2 linked regions of the Canis lupus familiaris genome follow. The protein of the gene in region 1 purifies or fractionates together with the protein of each later gene. This does not show direct contact. Links are inferred from orthologs where the notes say so. Each region holds a gene or a part of one and is shown on either strand. Other genes may lie near its edges.

Region 1 (3,500 bases):
AAATTAAACACATCTTCCCTGGAACTTCAGTTTCCTTTAATTAAACACGAACTGCCCGTGTTGGAATGCTTGGGACTGAAAGCAAAGGAATTCCAGATTACAAGTTTTAATGCTAAAACTGTTACTACCTGGATCATTATTTTTAGCTATTTTAGCAGTGTGTCATTGCCTCTTCCCTTTCTGGGACATTTTATTCTGCTTGAGAGTTTTTTGGGATACTCAACTAGTTAAGAAAATCGTTAAGAAGGCCTGCTAGCAAAACCAATACAGAATCAGCAAAAGCAGACGTTTTTCCTATTGGATCCAGAGGGGAGGTGCAGCAGGAGAAATCTTGTTTTTTACAACGCTTTCTGTGCAGACTCTGGTTTCTCCCTTTCTGTTAGGTGTGATGTTAGCGCAAAAGAGAGTGCTAACTCTTTTCAGAATGAAAACTGGGTACTTCCAGACAACTTAGGCTTTTTAAATATTGGTTTGTTGCTACTCATACTGGAGGGGAAGTTTTTAAAGGGGCTCAATATTGTGATGGTTTAAAGTAGGTGGTTTACAAATTGTTCTTTTAACAAGTGTCTAGGCAGCTCTCTGAGGAGCCAGAAATCTGATGTAGTTCTCCTTTGTTCTAGGTTATACTACTCCAACTGCCCCCCAGGCATACAGTCAGCCTGTCCAGGGGTACGGCACTGGTGCTTATGATACCACCACTGCTACGGTCACTACCACCCAGGCCTCCTATGCAGCTCAGTCTGCATATGGCACTCAGCCTGCTTACCCAGCCTATGGGCAGCAGCCAGCAGCCACCGCACCTGCAAGGTAAGGCCACACTCCCCTAGTTCTGAGAGCACATCAGCTTGTTTCAGGAAAGAGAACAATTACACTGTATCCAGGACTTCATTCCTTTTCTTTAGTGGTTACTCTTAACATACTTACTTTTAGATGGTTGAGTATGTTCTTAAAGTCATCACAGGAATGCTCTAGAGAACACACCACAGATATATCATTCTCCATTTAGTAGAAAAATGGTGCTGTCCAGGGGCCAAGATGAGGAATGTCACTGACCAGTTTCTAGGTACCTTAGTCTAGTTTCAGAAGAGTGATCTTTTGGGATAGGAAGAGACTATTATATTTACTTTACCAAACCCAGAGAAAAACGGAGTGTGTGTTTCCCTTCACAACAGAACTACTGATAGAATTGCACTTTTGATTTTATTGACCTTGTAAATTGATAACAACTTTCTCTTTGGGAAAAACTTGGCAGTTTACAGTACAGGGGAGGTGGGAAGCATACACTGCTATCTGAGTTAAAGGAATTGACATTTTTTCTGTATTCTGTAGTGGCTTGGTCATTTAAATATCACAGGCAAGTATATATCTTAACTGGGTACCCTGCTTTGAGGTGAATATTTGGACAAACAGATTTCATACTCCATGACTAATTAGCAGGTAAACAGTGCTGATTATTACTTAACAGAAGATTTCAGGTCTTTGCTTTAGGCAATGCACATAGGTGGCTTCTGCATACAGTCTTGAAGGAACATTGAATTCTGATTTGAAAGAAGACTTTTTAGGGAATAAACAAGAAATCAACTTGTAACCTAGACTTTTTGCCTACTGTGTAGAGGTAAGAAATTAGCTCTGGCAAACACTCATGAAATTACTTCTAAAAGTGCACAGTGAGTAATCAGAGCTACTTGGTAGTTTACATATGCTGGACAACCTGTGCAGTAGGTAGATTAAACTAATGGATTCCTGTAAAGCTCCGTTTCAGTTGACCTAGGCATTTCAGAATGTTTTCAACTATTTGAAAGCCCATTTGATGATCATTGCCACGGTATATCCAAGCCATAGCAGGAGTGTGGGGGTTATTTATTGATTTTTATAAAATAATGCTTTTGGTTTTTTTTTTTTTTTTTTTTCCCCTTGATTTTCAATCCTTACACTTTAAAACTGCCTCATGATCAGTGTCAGCAACTCCTTTTTCCACTAGAAAGAGGGGGCTTCTGACCCATTTCAGCTCTGGAGAAACCAGTACACTTCCACATCCATCTGGTTTGCCTGCCGATTCTTGGGGGTTTGCTTAAAATAGCTCAAGCTCACTGTGCTACACTCTTGTTGCAAACTGTTAGGGCTGAGAGGTAATAGAAAAACCCTTGGGGTTTTGTTTTGTTTTTTCCTTTGGGATTGGTTTTCATTACTTAATATTTCCCAGTTCAAGGGTTGTTGGGAGCTGGGGCTGGAAGTTGGGGGATCCCTCCTCTATTCTGGTATTTCCATTATGGAGACTTATTTATGTCAGTCCAACTTAGGAAATGTATTTTCAAGTCTGCTCTTAATAAATGAGAAGTCTAAACTCATAGTAATCCAAATTTATAAGTGCCCATGAACTTCTATAAATGTTATTCTGACCTGAAACTTCAGCATTATTATTGAAGTTCCTAGTCTGTCTTCAACAGTCCTTTTTGAGTAAAAGTATTTTCTTCCCTAACAAACCACTTCCCCTCCCAGATCACTTAAGTTGTCAATAGAAAATAATCGTAACTGCCTTTGATTGCTGCTAGTGTGCAACAAATGTAACATGTTGGTATCTCATCTGTGGATGTGATTAATTCTCCCCCTTGTTAGTGTTTTCTTCCAGCAAATATAGTTGGACTGGGGCTGGGTTTGATGTAGTTCAGTTTATAGTTGTATTTACTTCCAAGCTCAATCCTAACATTGCACATTGCTCAGAGGTTTTAGCGTTCTTACCCAAAGTTTTATGGTCGAGGGAAAAAGTCTTACTTTTTTATTTCTCCTTTTAGACCACAGGATGGTAACAAACCCGCTGAGACTAGTCAACCTCAATCTAGCACAGGGGGTTACAACCAGCCCAGCCTAGGATATGGACAGAGTAACTACAGTTATCCCCAGGTACCTGGGAGCTACCCCATGCAGCCAGTCACAGCACCACCATCTTATCCTCCTACCAGGTCAGTATTATCTTTGTCCTCATGGCCAGTGAGCTAGTAGAATCACAGGTTTTATTTTCAGACTGTTGACCAGCTTCTTCCTCAGGTGAAATGAGTTCTCTGACTCTCCCAGTTATAAGGCTGACCATTCAATGTTACATTAAAACCTTTGAAGGACATTTTTTTTTTTTAAACTTCACTTTAATCATTTCATATTTAACTCAGGGGTCCATTCATGCACAAGTCTTTTAATGATTGATTGGGCCAGGGCCTTTCATCCAGAGCTCTAGTCTACAAGTCTACAGGTTTATATGGCACTGTTTTACTTAACTACCCCAGCAGCTACAATGTCTCGTTTGGGTTTCTTGTAAAGCAGAGGAAGAACTGCAGGTTTTCACACGCACATTTAATTAGAAGCAGGTTTTCAAATGAGCTATCTGAATTGTGTCTTAAAGTGTTACCCTAGTTTTGCTAGAAGTAGCACTTACCTTTTTTGCACTCAATTTCATTGGTTTACATATTAAAGTGCCTCAGATGTGGACAGGTTTGGGAGCAAATACA
Region 2 (4,132 bases), on another chromosome or scaffold:
TTTTATTATGTCACTCTAAAAACTTTATAGAGATTTCCATTTTACAGAAAGGAAAAAACAAAGTCCTTACAGCAGCCTACAAATCCTTCAAATCTCTCCCGTCTTTCCTCATTACAGCCCGCCACGGCCTTTGCATGTGTTCCTTCCTCTGCCAGCAAAGCTAACTCCCTCCCTTTAGGTCGCTGCTCAGATGTCACTGAATTAGAGAGGCCTTCCCCCAGGTCACCCCATGTAACACCGTGACATCCATACACTCCCCTCCCCCACAGACACAGAAACACTATCCCCTTTCCTCGCTTTTTCTATTTTAATCAGCAATCTTTATTTTTTAGTTAGCAATCTTTAAATAACATAAAGATTCATTGTTTTATTCCCCCCCATTGTGGTATAAAGCCCATGAGGGCAGGAACTCACGTGTCCAGTGCCCTCTGCCCCAGTGCCTAGCACAGTGCTGGGCTGATGCAGTGTTCAGCACAGGTCCAGTGGTTCCAATTGTCCATCTGCGCTACGGCCCCAAGGACCTCTGAACGGCTTGTCACCAAGCTCCTTTCCTTGAGCTCCTTTTGTCATAATTTGGGAAACATTTACAACCAAGAGACAACAGCCCCCACAATGAAGGACCTCGAATCCCGCGCCCCCGCCCCCCTCCCCCATCTGTAGAAATAAACAAAAGAGACATCAGATGAGCAGCTCGCGAGGGCCTTAGCAGCTCAACAATTCTGTGACGCTGTCTGGCCAGGTTTGTGAGACCGTCAAGCTCAGTCTGAGTGAGGAGGCAGGAAGTTGGAAACCAGCGTGGAAGGAACTGAGAGGAACATGCTCCGGCCTGGTTAAAAACACGTGCTCAGGCCTTCACCTTCTCTGTGTCGAAAGGCCACGGCTTTTAACCGTCCTCGCCCGGGGAGGGCGCTGAGGGCCTGCCAGGACCTCCCGAGGCAGCGCCGACGAACGGAGACCATGGGACCCGGGAGTCTTCCTCAACAGGGGCTCCACCTGCGTGTTGGTTCTTTGTTAGCCAACTGCGCTCAGCCCCCGACCGTGAATATTCTGCTCAGAAAACGCACTTCGGTGTGAACCAAGCGTAGCAGGGAGTGCTTTAACCTGACTGGGACCTCGTCCGCCGACCACCTCCCGAGAGAACCGACAAGGAGCATCCATCATGGCTGCCGGCAACAGCGCAGCGAGAGGCAACCGAAAGAAAATGGCGCCGGGGCGCGCGGCCGGTGACGGCAGGCCCAGGCCGGCGGAGCGACCCAGGGACGCCATCCAGGAACCCTGAAGACCCGCCTGGACCCAAGGCGCCGGGAAACCCTGACACTTCACGACTGCAATATGGAGGACGGTTATTGTGTCTGCAAACCAACTTGCACAAGGAGGCCCGTGTTCCGTCCCGCGTTCGGAACCCGGCAAAATCTTCTATTCTCCAAACAGAATGCGTTACGCACACTGCGCATCTTCGCAATAGTGGGCCGGGTAACGACGCAAAGAATGTTACGTCGCACCGGAGGCTCTTCCCCTCACCCCACCCCACGTTCTAGTTCAGGTGGCGCGAGCACTCTACGCCCGCTTCGTACTTTATTTTTCTTCTACGGACTGCAACATGTGCCGGTCTGCGCAACTGACGTAAATGGCTTCCAAGAATGCCCTTAGTACTCCGCCAAGCCCTCGGGCTATTCCAAGACGCTGTTTACGTATCGTCTCCGACGTACGTAGCGTTAAGCTGGAGCAGTCTCAGCGCCGGCCGCCATTTTGTGCAGTCGCTGGGAAGGAAGGAGACGCCTAAACCGCGGCACTGCCGGGTTTGAGCGTAGCCAAACCTACCCACAGTTTTTATAACCCCGATTCTCTGTGTTTTGCTCCCGTCTCCGACGAGAGAGGCGGCGACGGTGGCGTCTGCGACGGGAGACAGCGCGTCGGAGCGAGAGAGCGCCGCGCCTGCCGCCGCCCCAACAGCGGAGGCGCCGCCGCCATCGGTCGTCACCAGACCGGAGCCGCAGGCCCTCCCGAGCCCGGCCATCCGTGCCCCGCTCCCAGATCTCTATCCGTTTGGGACCATGCGCGGAGGCGGCTTTGGGGACCGGGACCGGGATCGTGACCGTGGAGGGTAAGGGGGGAGGGGGAGAGGGAAGGCCTCGCGTGTGCGTGGGCCGGGGGGAGGGGGAAGGTTGTTTCCTGAGGAGACCGCAGCCTGCCGCCGAGCGGGAGACCTGGAGCGGACTGCAGGCCTGGGAGCGACGCCCCCGACTCCGGGAGGCGAGGCGACCTGGGACATAATAGCGGTTTGGTGTGCGGGCCTGCGGGTGGGCCTGCGCCCCGGGATCACGGGAGACCCGGCGTGGGGGGGCGGCCTGGCGACGCCCCAGCCCCTCCTTTCGGACCGCAGTCGTGGCGGGGAGCCGGAGCGGCGGCCCGAGCGCCGCAGACCCAGCCTGGCCTCGCCTCGCCGCCCGGCTGCCGGGCCCGGCCGATTTGGGCAAGTCATTTGATCTCTCCAGGCCTCAGCGCTCATCTGTAAAACACGGATGTTCTTGCTGAGAAGAGGAGGAGGTCTCCGAGTTCGGCCTGGGAAAATCTTGACGCCAAATGGCTTCCCTTATCTTATCTGTCGCCAGAGATAACTGCTAAAGGAACTGGAAATCGAGTTGGAAACTAGACGCCAAATGGCTGATTTCTAGTTTTAAATGTATCTTAAAATCCCCTTTAGTGGTATTTCAGATAATTCGAAGGAAGCACTTTGGACAGTAAAGCAGTGGAATTGTTTGCCATCTAAATGATCTTATTTGAGGAGGGGAGGGAGGGTTTTTTGTGGGTTTTTTTGTTTGTTTTTTTTTTGGTTACTGTAGGGTTCCCTCCCACCCTGTGTTCTGTTCTTCTCCAGTTGGACTGGAGTATTAGTTGCTCGGCCTGGTTAGAAAGTTTCGATGCGATAATGCCACGGCTGAAAGTTAACAAGATTAAAGTTCTTCCCAGATACTGAGATTCAGATCTTAACATAAGTTAAAGGGAAAAGTTGCCTAAGAGATGCGAATGTTCGTGCTGTTAACTTTTTGTAATAAAGGTCTTATCTCTGGATAAATAATAATGGAACGCCAGTTATTAATATATATACATATGTGACCTTGGGCAAGATCCTGGACCTTTTTGTGAGCCTATTTTCTCAACTGAAGATGGGCATAATAATTGCCTTTACTTTGCATTGTTTTCGGGAATTGAGATCTATGTAAAATTGTGTCTTTGTGATAGGTGTTCTGTTGATATTTTCTCCAAACATTTTTGTCTTTTGCGGTTCAAATACAGAAGTCCCAGACCTCTAGTCATAAGCACCTCAATTCACTTGAATTGCCGAATAAAAAGGATTATTTTGTTTATACCTTGTTAGAAAAGAAAATATTTGATCTTAGTGTTAAATTTGGAGGGCTAGAAGTGGAATGTTTGCTTAGAGTTTCACAGTATAGCTCAATTTAGAAGTGAATTTCAGTGCAACCACTTGAGACAAAGAATTTTTGACATTACCTAGTAGAAAATGACCCAATAATTCCTTTCTTAAGCTTTGTACCCTAGACACAAGCCTAGAGAAATCATTGTACGTGTTCCCCAGCATTCATGTACAAAAAATGTTCATACCAGCACTGTTCATGAAAATATTGGGAACCACTCTTCTGTCTAGATAAAGGGTGGGTATTCATTACAGTAGAATGTAACACAACCGTGGAAGAAAAAAAAAAAAAACTTGCATCAAAATGGATGACCAGCAAACATTGAAAAAGCAAGTTGTGGTAAAAGGATACGTATATGACCGGACTCCAAAAAGCAAAAATCAAGATGGTAGTTGTAGTGGGTTTGTAAACTTGAAATAGGCACAGAGGGCTACCAAGGTACTGATCATGTTCTGTTTCTTTACCATACCATAGGTGTTTGGTTTAATACTTAATTTCACCATATACATGTTTTAACAAATTATTTGAAAAGAAGAAAAAGTAAATTACTGATCCATATTTCTACCCCATATTGACTATCAGATGACATTTTTTTTAAAGCTTTAAACTTTTCACACAAAATGGCACTTTTTCATGATGTTTGTGTCCTAATTCTACATTTACCATGAAATTGCATTTATGATTTTGAGTTACTA

Evidence for each region.
Region 2: the proteins of EWSR1 (region 1) and DDX17 purify together in Homo sapiens (affinity purification with mass spectrometry; 3 studies listed by BioGRID, with this or other methods). This does not show direct contact. The link is inferred for Canis lupus familiaris from reciprocal best matches to the Homo sapiens genes EWSR1 and DDX17.

What each region holds. Positions count from the first base shown.
Region 1 is NC_049247.1:23,000,198-23,003,697, forward strand, and holds part of EWSR1 (RNA-binding protein EWS), read left to right. Parts: intron 1-620; coding exon 621-807; intron 808-2,792; coding exon 2,793-2,960; intron 2,961-3,500. UniProt on the Homo sapiens protein: Binds to ssRNA containing the consensus sequence 5'-AGGUAA-3'. Might normally function as a transcriptional repressor. EWS-fusion-proteins (EFPS) may play a role in the tumorigenic process.
Region 2 is NC_049231.1:27,281,383-27,285,514, forward strand, and holds the start of DDX17 (probable ATP-dependent RNA helicase DDX17), read left to right. Parts: upstream 1-1,332; coding exon 1,333-1,473; intron 1,474-1,811; coding exon 1,812-2,104; intron 2,105-4,132. UniProt on the Homo sapiens protein: As an RNA helicase, unwinds RNA and alters RNA structures through ATP binding and hydrolysis.